2 linked regions of the Styela clava genome follow. The protein of the gene in region 1 purifies or fractionates together with the protein of each later gene. This does not show direct contact. Links are inferred from orthologs where the notes say so. Each region holds a gene or a part of one and is shown in the gene's direction. Other genes may lie near its edges.

Evidence for each region.
Region 2: the proteins of proton-coupled zinc antiporter SLC30A5-like (region 1) and zinc transporter 6-like purify together in Homo sapiens (co-immunoprecipitation; 5 studies listed by BioGRID and IntAct, with this or other methods). This does not show direct contact. The link is inferred for Styela clava from reciprocal best matches to the Homo sapiens genes SLC30A5 and SLC30A6.

What each region holds. Positions count from the first base shown.
Region 1 is NC_135256.1:4,828,478-4,836,672, forward strand, and holds the start of proton-coupled zinc antiporter SLC30A5-like, read left to right. Parts: upstream 1-5,086; 5' UTR 5,087-5,142; coding exon 5,143-5,192; intron 5,193-7,047; coding exon 7,048-7,170; intron 7,171-8,195. Other genes in the region: sentrin-specific protease 1-like, read left to right, coding at 775-2,265. UniProt on the Homo sapiens protein: Together with SLC30A6 forms a functional proton-coupled zinc ion antiporter mediating zinc entry into the lumen of organelles along the secretory pathway.
Region 2 is NC_135253.1:6,834,612-6,841,783, forward strand, and holds the start of zinc transporter 6-like, read left to right. Parts: upstream 1-4,083; 5' UTR 4,084-4,316; coding exon 4,317-4,428; intron 4,429-5,572; coding exon 5,573-5,616; intron 5,617-5,746; coding exon 5,747-5,918; intron 5,919-6,206; coding exon 6,207-6,423; intron 6,424-6,698; coding exon 6,699-6,820; intron 6,821-7,172. UniProt on the Homo sapiens protein: Has probably no intrinsic transporter activity but together with SLC30A5 forms a functional zinc ion:proton antiporter heterodimer, mediating zinc entry into the lumen of organelles along the secretory pathway.

The sequences.
Region 1 (8,195 bases):
ACAACGCAAAACGAGAGAAAAGATCGTTCCATGTATTTCCAGTTCAATGTCGCCACCGCACCTCTGTTTACTCTGCGTGGGTACGCAGGTTCGAATCCCATGCATGAATGGTTATGTGCGAGAGGATTGTTGGACTCCTCGCCGCTATGGCGTGGTTCACGTAACCTCTGGTCGGTTAGGCTTTCTCCACCATCAAGTCCATGCTTCCGAAAACAAATAACTAACTAATCCCATACCCGACATGTAATGATAACCGGACAAGAGACCGTGGTTTGCAATATAGTTGAGCCGTCTTATTGGTTTCCCTCCCCCCCCCCCCCCCCCCCGGATAAATATACTTTTATTGTATAAAAATACATACGCGAGTTGGCGATAAAGAACATATGTCATGCATGAATGCATTTAGAATTATTCGTTGTAGCGAAAATTGAGTGACGTCAAGATTTTATAATACTTACCAGAAATACCCACACATTAGAATTTTATTTTGAGTATTCCAATTATAAATTGTTCAATGCTGGATATTCATACATTATAATTTTCAAATCTTTTTTATATGTTATTAAATGAATATTTCGCAGTTTAAATCACGTATAAATTGAATATTATATTTTTTTGAATATGTTTACATTCAAATTCTGGCATGCAATAATTTAGTTTTGGGAAATATTCCAGTACAGCTTACCTGTATATGCTTGACGTTAAACATCCGTTTACTGCTGATTAGGGCGACTTCAGTTGTTATCGGAAACTCCTAAAAGGGCTACGACTCCTATGAAACGGCCCGTGATGGGAAAACAGCCAGTAGTGCCCCAGTTACCTGAAATTTCGGTGCGGGATTCCATACGATTAAAAAGTTCCAGGCCGTCAAGTTCAATGAGAACTCATGCTTATTCTAGATTTATGCAACGGACTGCAGGGGTTTCGTTGTATGATAAAGCTTTTGGCTTTGCAAATTCACCAAGCAAACGTTTTAGCAGGATCATGAAACAAAGAACATCAAAGCGTCGCAGTCTCGAAGTATTTCGCTGTTCGTCTCTAGATCAACGAGAACAGTATCGAAGATTGATTGAACAATATAGGTCTACGACAACAAAACCAGCTCCTTCATTGTTTAGTAACGATGACAAAATTAGAACACCTATGAAGCAAGCGAAAAGAAACCTCAACGTTAGTATAATTGATTTGACAAATAAAAATGAGACAAAACGTGACGAAAATGTTGATAAAAAAGCTCCGATGTTGCGGGAAAAATTAAAGGAACTCGATAACATTATAATTCAGCATCCGAAGCCTTTAATTCTAACAAATGGTGCCGAAAGTCAAACTGAAACCACTCTCAATGATAGTATAAAGAGAAGCCAGATTTTGAAAGAGTTTTCTTCCCCATATTTGTCACAAAATTTCGTTCCTGACATGTTAAAGACATACAATCGTCGAGTTCGTCAGAGGCAAGCTCAAACACGTGCTGAAGAAACACGAGCCCGACTTTGGCACGAGAAACGTGAAGAGAAAGATGCACTTCTGGCTGAAATTTTACACAACAAATTAAAACTCCAAGAAAAAAAGATTATCGAACAACCCACACTTCCTGAGCTGACTTCCGACATGAGCGAACACATAAACAAAGCACTAGTTCCATATCCTCCAAATCAAGTCCTTTCTGAGTGTTTCAACATTTCAATAACCCGCGAGCACATGTCGACTTTGTTCGGTCTAAATTGGCTTAATGATGAAATTATAAATTTTTATATGGAATTGATTGTCCAGCGCTCTAAAGATGTAAAAGATTACCCCGCAGTACATTCCATGAATACATTCTTTTATCCCCGATTGAGTACGCAATCTTATACATCAGTACGTCGGTGGACAAAAAAAGTTGATATATTTTCCAAAGACATCGTTCTGTATCCAATACATCTTGGCGTGCATTGGTGTCTAGCTGTCGTTGATTTCATATCGAAACAAATAAGATATTATGATTCAATGGGTGGAGCCAATCGGGAATGCCTTGAAATCCTAAAAAATTATCTTCTTTGTGAGCACAAGAATAAAAAAGGATCAGAGATCAATCTTTCTGACTGGCAACTGTTGTCAATGTCTGATATACCGCAACAAATGAATGGATCAGATTGTGGAGTCTTTGCTTGCAAATTTGCAGAGTATATTACTTCTAAATCAGACTTAACATTTTCCCAACGAGATATGCCTTACTTTCGGCGAGCCATGGTATGGGAAATTATCAACAAAAAACTTCTACGGTGATATTGAAGCTTTATGACATTGTACTAATATATTTATATCATTTTTGGATCTTGTTTACTTTGGTAACCTTTGTTAAATATTATTATCTGCTTCCCATCCATTATGACATCATTATTCTGGCTACCATGCTCCATTGATTCCTGCAAGGAGTTTGAATCGAACTTGAATCCCCAATTTTGTGTTATGTAGGCTGCAAAATCAATAATCTATGTTGAGGATTTTAAATTAATATTACTTGGGCCCTAGAAATATAAGTCCAGACTCTAGATCAGGGTGGTACAAGATTGGCAGCTTCGCGGGCCACAAAATTACTTTTGCATTGTTCGCGGGCCACAATAGTGCCAAGAACTTTAACTTCGCTAGTTGCCTCAGCAAGCCATAACACTAGTCAATTCAGTGACATTAGTGATGCAACAATGTCAAAAGAATTTTTGGTTAATTTTATGACGAACAACACGAAATGCGATTTTTTGATTTTTCTCCGAATGCGACGCGGGCCACAGGTAATGAAGTGGCGGGCCACATGTGGCCCCCGGGCCTGGGTTTGAACCACCCTGCTCTAGACACATTTAAATGATTATTGGTTGAATAATACGTTGTTTATTGTTGAAGCTACTTTTATGAATTCCAGATAATCTTTGACGAAATTTGATTAGAATTTGAATAATTAAAAATATTTGCTTAAAGTGCATGTATGTGAAATGTATTCTAAGATTTCAAATAATCAAAATAATTCATTTTACTGTTAAATTTTTAGACTTTTGTTGTATTAAAATCATGGTGATGGTGTTTTCAGAAAAAAAGAATCTTATTCCCATTGTAATTCTGGACTTTGTACACATTTTTTACTGCTCTGCCCCAGTGATGACAAAGTGCATATTGAATTCCTTGAACATGTTTGCTGTATTGATTAATGATTACAACAATTTGCTTAGTAGTTCTCGAACCCTTTATATAAAATAATTTATATCATTTCAAATTACATTTGTTTGTTGACAATTTTTTAGTATTTATATTTGATTTTCTAGCTCTCGTAAGTTCTTATTTTGTATCTGCTTCATGGTTTCATTATTGTACGTCATCAACATTTACAGTAAGTCATCTTGAAAGTCATTACAGCGTATCATTTTTGGATCTCCTGGATGTCTAAAAATAAAATGAATGGGGTATTCTAACTGATGCAGAATTAATTTTATGTTCTATATTTTAAAATATTGAATTTAGGCATAATTTAGAATCATTCATTTGAAAATCATAAAAATAGATAATCAAAACACTTTTCGTAACTCTTCCACGTTTGACCATGTTCCAACTCCTGATTTAGGATGTATACAAGTCCATGTTTTAAAAAATAAGTACCTGGCCTAATAATCCCATACTCCACATGCACTGGTATCCGATGGGAGACTGTGGTTCGCTATATGATTCGCTATGTGTTTGGCCAAATGATTAAGTAGTTTTCCCGTCTTTCTTTCTGGGATGAATATGTAAATCCTATTCTATATTTGACAACAATAATAATGTATTAGAAATGTATGTTACGCAGTTTTAGTCATCCATGTCTTATTGTGAAATGCTCAGTTTGAAATAAGTTTACCGTATTCCTCAGTATTCTCTGCAAGCTTACTTGTGTCTACTGTTGACTCTGCAATCAGCCAATCATAATTATGAAGCTATTATTAACAATTTAGTCCTGCCTGTCTACAACCTTTGAATGAATTCCACACTGCCTAAGTTGACAGAGTCCGTAATTTTTTATGACGTTATACTATTATTACTTTGCAATTTTATTCCAACTTCGTTGATGTCATTTGGTGTGGTGTTGGGAGTCTTTTTTTTGTACTTTCTTTGTATTTATTTCTCATAATGTTCACGAATATTAAGTTATTTCTTAGGATTGGGATATGTGAATCGCTTTTTTTTCATAAAATATTCATTTTTTACTTAAAAGTTAACTCATGATAGAGGAGAAATTTTAATGTGATTTTGGCTACAAAATCGAAACTGTTTACAATATTTGAAAGTTAATTTCAAAGCAAAAATTTTAATTGTAAATCTTTCAAATTAGCATAAAAATATTAAACTTTTAATTGGTATTTAGGTCCCTTTTGTACGATTTGACAATAAAATGCACAGAAGCATAATAAAGCAGCATCCACTCTCCCCATTTAAATGAGATTATTCTGAGTGATCACGTTTCATTGATTTTCCATTGTGAATTCTGTTTAAACTTTAACCTCATGCTTTCTAAGGTGTCCACAAAATCTTGAATTTTTTTTAAAAATGCAAAGGGAATTTATCCATACCAGATATTGTTTTGGACCTCACAGATGTATTAAATGAATTGAAATACTTAAACAAACCTCGTTAAGATATCTTGAGAACCGACTTCATAACAAAAGTGAAATCGTAAAGGGACTTTATGGACACCCTATAAGGCCTATATACTCACACAGAAGCTGTGATCTGCAGCATTTTTTCGTTTTGGGCAGTTTCAATTTCTCAAAAATATAATAATCTTTTATTGACGAATGGATGAGTTGCACCTCTGATTTGATACATTTTTGGTTTAAAAGCGTGACCTATTCACGAGTATATGCGGTATATTTTTCAGAAATATCAAAATTCTACTGATTACGGTAATTCTACCCCGTTACTGAGGTGCTGTACATCAAGTTTTAGCTTCAAAAATTCAAACTCGCTATGCCCACATGAGTCTAGCATCTTAACCAATAAGCCGTTGCACCTACTTATTTTTTCTTTGTGTTTGTCTATTCAAATTTTTTGTAATTTTTTTCCACACTCATTGAAATACCACCTATTTTGTTCAGTATTCTATTCATTAAAGTATTAAATATTAGTTACGTATGAGTCAGCATGAATGAGAATGATGATCTCGGCAGAATTACTGCTGCAGCAAGGGAAAGGTGAGTTACAAAACTATTAATTCTTCTATACAATGCTCATTACCACGCCTTTCACTCTGAATGAGATCCTATATATCAGTGCTCCGCAACCGGTGTGCCGCGGCGCATCGGTGTGCCGCGAGACGATGCCAGGTGTGCCGCACAAGAATTGCAACTTTTCCATTCTATTTACAAATTTCTTTTTATCCTTTGTTAATTTTACGTTAGAGTCTACTACTCTACTAACGTAAAGTTAACCTGCTTTTACGTTAGCTTGAGCGACACCAATTCAAATTCCTGACTTCCCCACTGTGTATTTGTGACGTAACAAGGAATAGGCCTATATATCAAGCAGATATATTGCAAAGCCTACTGTCAAGGATAAAACATAGCATGTGTAGTAATAGAATATAAATAAAACTTGAGCTTAACGAAAGAATTACCCCTGCGTATTCGAGAAAATTTGTTTGAAGTAAGAAATGACAGAACGCTAAAACTGAAATTCGGCGAAATTCCACTTGATGTATTTAGGATTTCAATAAAAGAAAAATATAAGCACATTCAAATGCAGCTATTGAAATATTGCTCCGGTTTTGCACAACTCATGTGTGCGAACAAAGCTTTTCCTCTTTATTACTGATCAAAAATGATAAACGATCCTGTATAAAAGATGTTGACGGCGAACTTCGAGTTGCTCTTTCACGTATTGTGCTCATTGAAACAACCACAAATCTCTCATTGAAATATAAACATAAAACGAAGTTACACTTTGTTTTTCCGTTTGTTGTGGTGTGCCGTCGAATTTGGCAAGATTTATAAGTGTGCCGCAAGTTAAAAAAGGTTGCGGAGCACTGCTATATATAGCAGTATGTAAAGAGCTATTATTTGAAAAACTGTGCAAAAACCATGAGAAACCACCAAACACTGTCAAAAAACACCAAGATTCTTGCAAAACCCACCAAAAATCCACGCCCAATACTGCTAATATTTAGCTACCATTATTCAAAACTTAAAGGATGGGAATATTACGGGGATGGGAATATTGGCGTTTCAACATTACAACTATTACATCGTTGTTGCATTCAACAACCAGCTTTGGTTTCCAGATGCTTTCCATCCCCAGTAAAATCTTGTGTTCTTTTCTCATTGTTGGACACGTAGTGGACATAACGATCGTTTCAATATTCTGTTGTTGTTGTTGTTGTTGTTGTTCTTTGACACGTTTTCAAAAAGTCGCTTTTCTCTTCGAATACTGGACCAATTGCTTTGAAATTTTCAGTGGTTAAAGATTAATTTTTTCGCTAGAAGGCTATTACTTTTATTTTTTTCAAAATTTTGCGTGAATTCTATGAAATTTGATATTTGCTGTATTATTTTTTATCCATGGGAACACGGATTTTAGTCAGTGTCATGACTGGCTGTACGTTTTGATTCTGCAAAATTCTTGCTACTGGAAATTCAGAACTTTTTTGAGGGTACCGATAGCGTCAAAGGTACCGGTAAGAACTGATTCGCTCTGGTCTAACGTGTCCATATATTTGTGCGTAGCTCTCTTGTTTTATATGCCATTGTTTTTATTGTACTGGCTGGGGAAAATAAACTTGCTATGTCTGTAGTTTATGCTTCCTTTTTTACAGTCTTGGAAAGCAATAAAGACACAAAACAAACATATAATTGAATTAGAAAATCGCAAAGACTTCCAATTTTGCAATCTGTGCCATGAAGGTGCGAGAGTTACCTGGCCTATCACAGATATTAGTTTACAAGTAACTATTCCATTGGTGTTGCGCTTGATAACTAACTTTGCTTTCCAGAGGCTCCCCTTCTTCAAAACTGTGTGTCTAAAAATAAACTTGTTGTGCATTTTTTTTTACAGTCTTGGGAAGCATGGACTCCTTTTGATGGTTGTGAAGATGATTCGTTGCATCGGACTTTTTGAATGTTATGATTTATTGAAAGTCGTCCACCTTGTGTATTTTTTATTTTTTGTTAAAGCTTGGTGAGTAATGTTAATACCAACCACATTTTTATAAGGATAGGATTTACATATTTATCCTGTGCTAGTGGAAAGCCGATAAGATGGCTTTTAATCATATGGCGAACAACAACCTTTCATCCGGTTTCCAGGGTATCGCGTGCAAAGATTGTATCAACTGGTGCATAGCCAGTAGGAATGCGACAAGCTTCGGATTCGTGGCCAAATCTCTCTTAATTTGATACTCGATTCGGCCCGAGCCTTTGATGATTTTACCCAAGTCTGTGACATCATACATCACGCGATAGTCAATCGCAGACTGCCCAAATACTCGGGATTCGTAGCATCCCAGGCATTTTGAAGGGAGGGATTAGATTGAATCAGCTAGCAGGTACGACCGAAGGTCAGAAAACATGGGTTTTCAAAAGTCTCGAGGGTCTATTTTTTTCTTATTTGAAAAAGGAGGGGGGAAACCCAATCCCCCCCTGCTACTCCCCTGTGTATCAATATAATACAGAAGTAGGCAGAGGTATTGAGTTTGGTTCGAGTCACCATTTATCACAGACTCGAACTCTACTTGACAGTAAGACTTAGCTCAACGATTCAACAACTCTACCTTGCTCAGTGTTTAGAAATTTGTAACCAACACTGGCTGCTTTTACAATAAAAAGTTTAGTCTTTATACTTTTCTTCCCAATATACACATTCATGCAATGCTCAATGAAACATATTCTGATCTATTAGGCCAGGGGTCACCAAACTTTTTTGACCACGAGCCGGATATGACTCAAACTGTGTTAAAACGGGCCGGACAAATATTTTTGTCAATGCAACGCAATAAATTCACAAAAGTTGGGAAATCGATTCAATTTATTCAACAATATATATGCTATATTTCTGAAGACTCGAATATTAAATTCTATCTATACCTGTATCGCAGAATATGATTCGAGAACATACTAAGAAAACAAGTATACAAGATTTCTATATCTAGACAACTATCCTGAGTTTAGCTGTTATCAAAACGTTGCAGTCGTGAATTAGGGATG
Region 2 (7,172 bases), on another chromosome or scaffold:
ATACATCCTCAGTATCCATTTATTGATGCTTATCGTAATGACAAAGTAACTTGTGATTACTGTGGAATGGTGGAGACAAAAAGTTCATTGTGCTTTAACGAAAGCAACTTCAAGACGACCCTATCAAGAAAAGAAAAAAAATTGTTTCGGTGGGTCTGGTAGTGAAGGTTTTAGTCTAACGTTGGACACCGATACTACAACCAGATACAGTTGCCAATGAAACTTAGCGAGGCGTAATATTGCGACTTTGTGATCTGAAAGAAAATTCTGATGGGTAGCCGCAACCTTTTGTTTAAACAATATTATGAGATATGACTTAAGAGTCTAATCTTTTATTTGAGAGGGGTGTAACCCAAGCTAATTTGCAAATGGTATTCATGGTACCAAATGTATCACACATTTTACAGTAATTATAAATTATATTTGAAAAATAAAGCACATCAAAAATGTATTTTTTAAAAACAATTGGTTTTATCTGCAGATACTAGGTTGATATTGAGATTGACCATTTCAATGCTAAATTTTATTTAGTCAAAACGCACACTTGATTCGCAAAAATTTGTGAATACGCACAGTACACCAATTTGTCTAATGTTTTGATTCCATAGGCAGGAGGTTGTGGATCGGTGCTGCTCAGGATGGGATATTTTGCCTCTAAATGCATATTACGTGTTTCACATGAATCCATCGTGCTCAGATTCGACTGTTTTCAAGGTCTGAAGGCTCCAACAGCCTTTTTTTATGGGTACACAAGAGAATTTTTAGTGTGGCATGCATGGGTTAGTTGGAGTCACTAACCTCAAGATATATATAAGCAAGGATAAGATAACCTGGAAGTAACATTCCATAATTCAGAGTAAATAATGTATCTGCCTCCACAGCCCTTTCAAATGGAAGATATGATGCCTCGGGGGTAATTTCTATCAAATATTTTACAGTATTATGGTTCTAGTGAAAAGGAGTGTAGGCGGCTTTTTTAAAGTGTGGTAGGTCTAGTCGAAAGACACATTAAATGTTTATGCTAACAACTGCAAATTAATATTGCAACGCATACAAGTTAACAGAATTTGTTGAAATGGTCCTGCCTTTTGCCTTTCTTCAAAATCCCCCTTTTTCTAACTATTCTCTTCCTCTCTGGGGATGGCGAAAATTCAAATATCGATGGGACATATAAGCAGCTGATAATGGGTTATCTTCCCTTTTTCCTGAAAATAAATTAAACACTAAGCATCATTTGACAGTGCCAAGTTTGTGTATCAGATCAGTAATAAATTACCTGCTAAATAACAAAACAATCAGAAAACACCTTCTGACCATTAATGAAGATTTCTTTCATTTTAAAACGCAACTATGCCTACCAATGTGAGTAGTTTTTAGGATAGAATTTATCTGTGGTTGGGGACAGATTGCAAGGTGCAACATTGTACGATTACCATTCTATGTCGGGATTAGTTAGCCAGTAATTTGTTTTAGAAGCTTGGACTTGATGGCGGGCCGCAGTGTTCCCTCTAAGGTGTGCGCGTGTGCGCGCGCACACAGCTTTCAGAGGCTGCGCACACGCATAGATTTACAGCGCACAGACGTATTTCGATGTAATGTAACAATGTTCTCGGTTGGCAGGTTGAGAAAGTTTGTTGTTGGCCCACTTATTACCCGGTTAGAACGCCAAAATTTCTTCATTGGTTTTGCACAAATATTAGTCATTTCCAAAAAAGTGCGCGCACACCAAAATTTCTGCGCACACATACTACAAAAAATTAGAGGGAACATTGTGGCGGGGGATGTCGTAATCGACCAGCGGTCGTGTGAACCACCCTCAATGGGAGGAGAGCTGCAATCCCCTCGCACATAACTATCCCCGCATGGGATTGGAACCTGTGAAACTCCAAGGGGGATCAGAGATGCGGTGGCGAGCGTATTCTTAGATGGGGAATTCAATTGAATTCTGGTTATTTTTTGCATTAGCACTGGCGTTAAACTTTAGTTATCTATTCAACTTTTCACACTTACTAATAGATTACCTGCTAACTAGGGAAACAATACCTAATAATATCTTACACGAGTCAAGTCTGCAAGTCGGCCTACGCCTAGGCCTACCAATAACAGTAGTTTGTCATCTGCTTTCCATTGAAATGAGGGAGCTTATGAATATTCAAAAAATTGATAACGGCACATTATGACTTACCATCAACGAAGTGCTGTCCGCAAACAGTGAAACACAAGTGAGATGGCTTCTGAACTTGACACCAAGCAGTCCTGCCAATAGATAGATATCCACATTGCGCGACGTTCCGGATCTTTTGAAAACAGTGGAATATAACTGAAGATCCATTTCGTTGTCTATACTCTAAGTACAGCCAGCGGAACAATACGAAATAACCATTTTCAACAGCCAAACAAAACGGAAACGTATAATCCGACTTGCAACTGACAGGAGCTTAGGTTTGCACGTAATTGACAAAAATCAATTCCGTAATTACGGCCAAATCGATTACGTAATGACCCCGTAATTGCGATATTTTTTTCACACTTTTAAACCTATCATAACAACCAATTTAATCCACTTCTATTCCGAATGGGACATCGACAGTTGGGACAGTTTGGTTTTCATATTTCCGCCAGTACTACACGCCAGCGACAGATGCTAAAGACAAATATCAAGGAGTGAATTCAAATTAATTTTATTCTGATTTTTGTCTTTTGTGTTAGCTTTGATTTTCCTTTATCAACTTTATCACCCAATTTTATGTGATCAATTTTATCATTACCAACACTGGTAAGTGGTAATATATTTATGAAACGATAGTTGACTTTTTTTAAATCATATTAACGTATTAATACGAGTTTCGTATTAACTAAAAATTCCGGGTTTCTAATTTATAAATCAACGACGAGCGTATTCTCTCGTTTGATTATACTTGCGCTTGCCTCGCGACGAAGACTTGTTATTGTACCGTTTTTTTACATTATCCGACTTTACTACCTAGTTAGCATTTTATAATAATTATTGATGCCGACTTATTTACGATATTCCGATTACCATGCTTCATTTTACATTAAATTATTTCGCGGCCTAAATGTTATAACATTATTTGCGATAAATTTATATCAAATATTAATTATTTGCGCATAATTTAAATACCGTACTTATATGACATGCCTTCTCCGAAAATACAAAGTTATATCGCAAAACAATGCATTTGGTGACATTTATTTTGCACTCACGAAAATATTAATTTACTTTTCTAACTCAAGTCGACACAAGTTTGGTCGAGTGCCGGTGGTATTTGAGTCGACGATAAATCAAAATAAGTTGCCGCATTTGGTAAAGACTTAAAGATATTGTAAAGACATATTTGGCCGAAATAGTGCGAGGCATTGTGAAAACAAGGCCAAGTCCGGACAGATATATAACGATAAAACCGGTAACAGAACATCAAGATTTTGTAATAGAAAATGGCTCTCGCGCAGTATAAACATGGGAAATCCCGTCTTTTTGTTGTTTCTCTGCCGTCTGAATCGCTTTACCGATGCCGAAAAGACTAAGTTGCGTTGGTTCATTACGCAATTTCTCTTCCGTCGTCATATTGCTGTTTGATAAGCGCGACATTAATTATCACGGCATTTACAAATAGACCATGTTTGGTAAGTTGTCTCTTACATTCTTTAGTCATTTCACCCGAAGAAGTTGAAACCAGGTGTGTTGGCGTCCATCGGTCTCGACACAATTCTATCCCATATCTACGCTTAATATGTACATTTGCCATGCTAGATAAGTTGATAATAGATTAGTAAATGGCAACACGTTATGCCTTCTCCATCTGCATAACAAGAGAGAGAAAAACGGCTGCGAATACCGGAACTCTAACTTCTTCTACTTTTTAAACTTTAATTTTTTACAATCGACGGAATTGACTGCTCTAAAGAGAGCTCGTTTCAATCGCGAAAGCGCTCCACCAATAATTACGCATTTACGTAATTCGTAACTTCGCTTCCGTAACTCGAAATAATTCCGTAATTCCGTAAATCCGTAAATTACGTGCAAGCCTAGAGAGGAGCTTTATGGACGTTTTTGTTTCATTGCCGTCCAGTAACAAAATCACGTGACCCGTGCAAGTCCTCTATATTTGGTTAGATTCAAATATTCAGTTGACTCCGTGCAGAGCTTTCATTTCCCTTGGCTTCATGGTCTGAATTTGAAACAGAAGCCACGGTATTCGAGTAAAGCTCCTTACTCTAGCCTGTCTGCCTGTAGCATCCTGCATTAGACCCGACCCGAGAAGAAGCAGAAGCGATTGGGGCACATTTCAAAGAAAATGCTCCCTGAACAAGCTAAATTTTTTTCACATGGACAAAAATCGGATGTTCGTAGTGTTCCAGAGATGCAACATGGAGATTATATTTCGCTCTTGCTTGATCCTGAGTCAGGTACGTACGGTACCGGTACTGGTACCTAATGTCTAAGTGTATGCTGGAATGTTTCTGTATTTAACTCATAATTAGGTTTTATAGTACGGTATTGTACGGTAGGCTATACCGAGACTGTATTCAGGTATTGTAAACCTGTAATTCATTATTTGTTCTATCAATCTCATAGACTAGGCCTACATCCAGACATCTGGGGTCTCGTGTAGTTTCGTACCTAACATACTTCTAGTGGGCGTAGCATAACAATATTTTGATATGTCAATCCTAACTCCCATCTGACTATGCCATCCGAAAATTATGTCACTACGACATCACAGTCACGTCATAGAGCTTGCCGAATATACGTACGATCGTCCGAAATGGCATCGGCGCTGACGATAAAGAATTGACTGACGTTATTGATCTCTTTCATATTGGAATCGTTGCGACGAGAAAGCGAGAAAAATAGCTGTTCGATTTCGGGTGCTCGTCTGCGCGTCTTTGATGGCAGTTGGTATAGTTTGAAGGGCTCCATTATGTCACTGTGACATCGTAGTGACGTAATTATTAGATGGTGTCGTCAGGTGGGGGTTAGGATTGACACATGAAAAAATTGTCATGCTACGCCCACTAGAAGTATGTTAGGTACGAAACTACACGAGACCCAACATCTGTACATTCAAAACATTTGCATGTTTCTTTGTTAATACTAAGCTATATGGTAGCTTATAAATAAGTAAATACAGAATTAGTGCGTACTAATAATAACGTACTACTGTACTAGCAATTTTACAGATTCATGACTTTGTGTAGTTATATCTGTATATACTGGTATATGTATGGTAATTACAGAATTAAGATTTCTTTGACTTTGCATCTGCTCTACATTATTAATCTCATTACGGAAGTATTGCGATATTGTATTAGGACTCACCATCATTCGATGAAGAAATGTTACTAAGCTACCTGAAATAATTTCATATTGACATAGCCATTAATTTTTCCTAATGAAATAATTGTGTCGAGTTGATGGGTCTAAATCATGTAATGAAATACAGAAATAGGAAGATTTCCTGGGTATTCAAAAATGATCATATTTGATTTGATTAAGTTTGCATTTTGACATGGTCCTAGTTTTTTACCTAACTCCTGTTTTTATTTTCAGATCTTGATTTAACTGGAAAGGGGACTCGCAAGCCTCTTATATCGGTGAGAAATTTTAATTGAATAATGTGTATATTCTATTTGTTACCATTTCATGATTCAAAACAGAACTATGGCAAATTCTAATACATGCTACATCCCGATTATGATATTCAAATATAGTTTTCATTCCCAGGGTACAATTCATCCATTTCATAAATCTCATTCAACTGTACTTGGACAATTTCAAGAAGAGTTTCGATTATTATTAACGAGAAGAAATGTTCGAGTTGCTGCGTTTTTTATTTTTATCAACTGCCTAGTTATCATGTGCTTAAGTATGTGGTCTTCATCAACCAATAGTCTAGGTAAGTATCTTCCCAGGTAATATTTATACTCCTAAAATAGAGTCCAGGGAGTTGTATGCGATACATCCATACATTGCATTTTTACCAAAACTTATAGTGGGAATTCCTTCAAAGGTACCACCATTGAAATAGCATATTTGCTTTTCTCATTTATTAACCTATAATACAAATAATTCCTAACAAATTCGTTACGAAAATATAACGCTTATAAACATGTATTCTTTCCTCTGATATCGTAGTTTGGAATTTAGTGTTATTTGTTACAAGGTTTGTAATTATTTTTTTCAGCTTTGCGCTCCTACAATTACATAACCATGTTTGAACTTCTTGGACTGGTCACTTACATATTATCATCATGGTCTTTATTGCAAAATCAGAGAACAAAATCTAACTCACATAATACATATACACTGGGATTTGAACGCATTGAGGTTCTTGGAGTATTTTCTTCTGTTGTCATTGCTCAATTGGGAGCTGTATTTATTTTCAAGGAAGCAATTGAAAGGTAATTATTAATTTATACCTACTTATGTTTGGCATATATATTTGTTGTTGCTGGCATTCTAGTATATTAGGTACCTATTTAGTCTATTTTAACAACAAAATTGAAATTTGACATATATTATATAATCCTCATTTTTCATACAGTTCAATTGGACTATTATCAAACATTTTCTTTGTCTGAAACTGAACTGTAATAGATATAGTTGATGTTATGTATTTAATGATAACTAAGTATTCAAAATTTTCAAACTCATGATCTGTATCTTTTTATTTTAGATTGATTGAACAGCCAGAGATTCATGCAGGGCGACTTTTACCTGGTGCTCTACTTGCATTTTTGTTTCATGTTACAGTAAATTACTGTCTTGTAAATCATGCGTTTACTAGCATTTGTGAAGGTAACTATATATATATATTGTTTATTTGTCGTAAATTTATAGAACCCCAGATTATCTTTTATCATTAATTTATCAGGATTATATGTTATATTTTTGCTGTTCTGAGTTTTGTAAGAAATTTTAAAATTCAATTGTAATTTTGACTATGAAAGCAAAGTGCTCCGCCTTTAAAATTGAAGCATTTTTTGATTTTCAAGGTTGCTTTGGTCTGTTATTATTGGTTTTCTGATTGATAAGCAGGCACATTTTAAATGAACGTTTTACATCTTTTTTGGCATAATTCATTTGATTTCAGATACTTTAGTTTGCCCTTCCGCCTTCTTTTTTTCTCCGGGATAAATATAAAAATTTT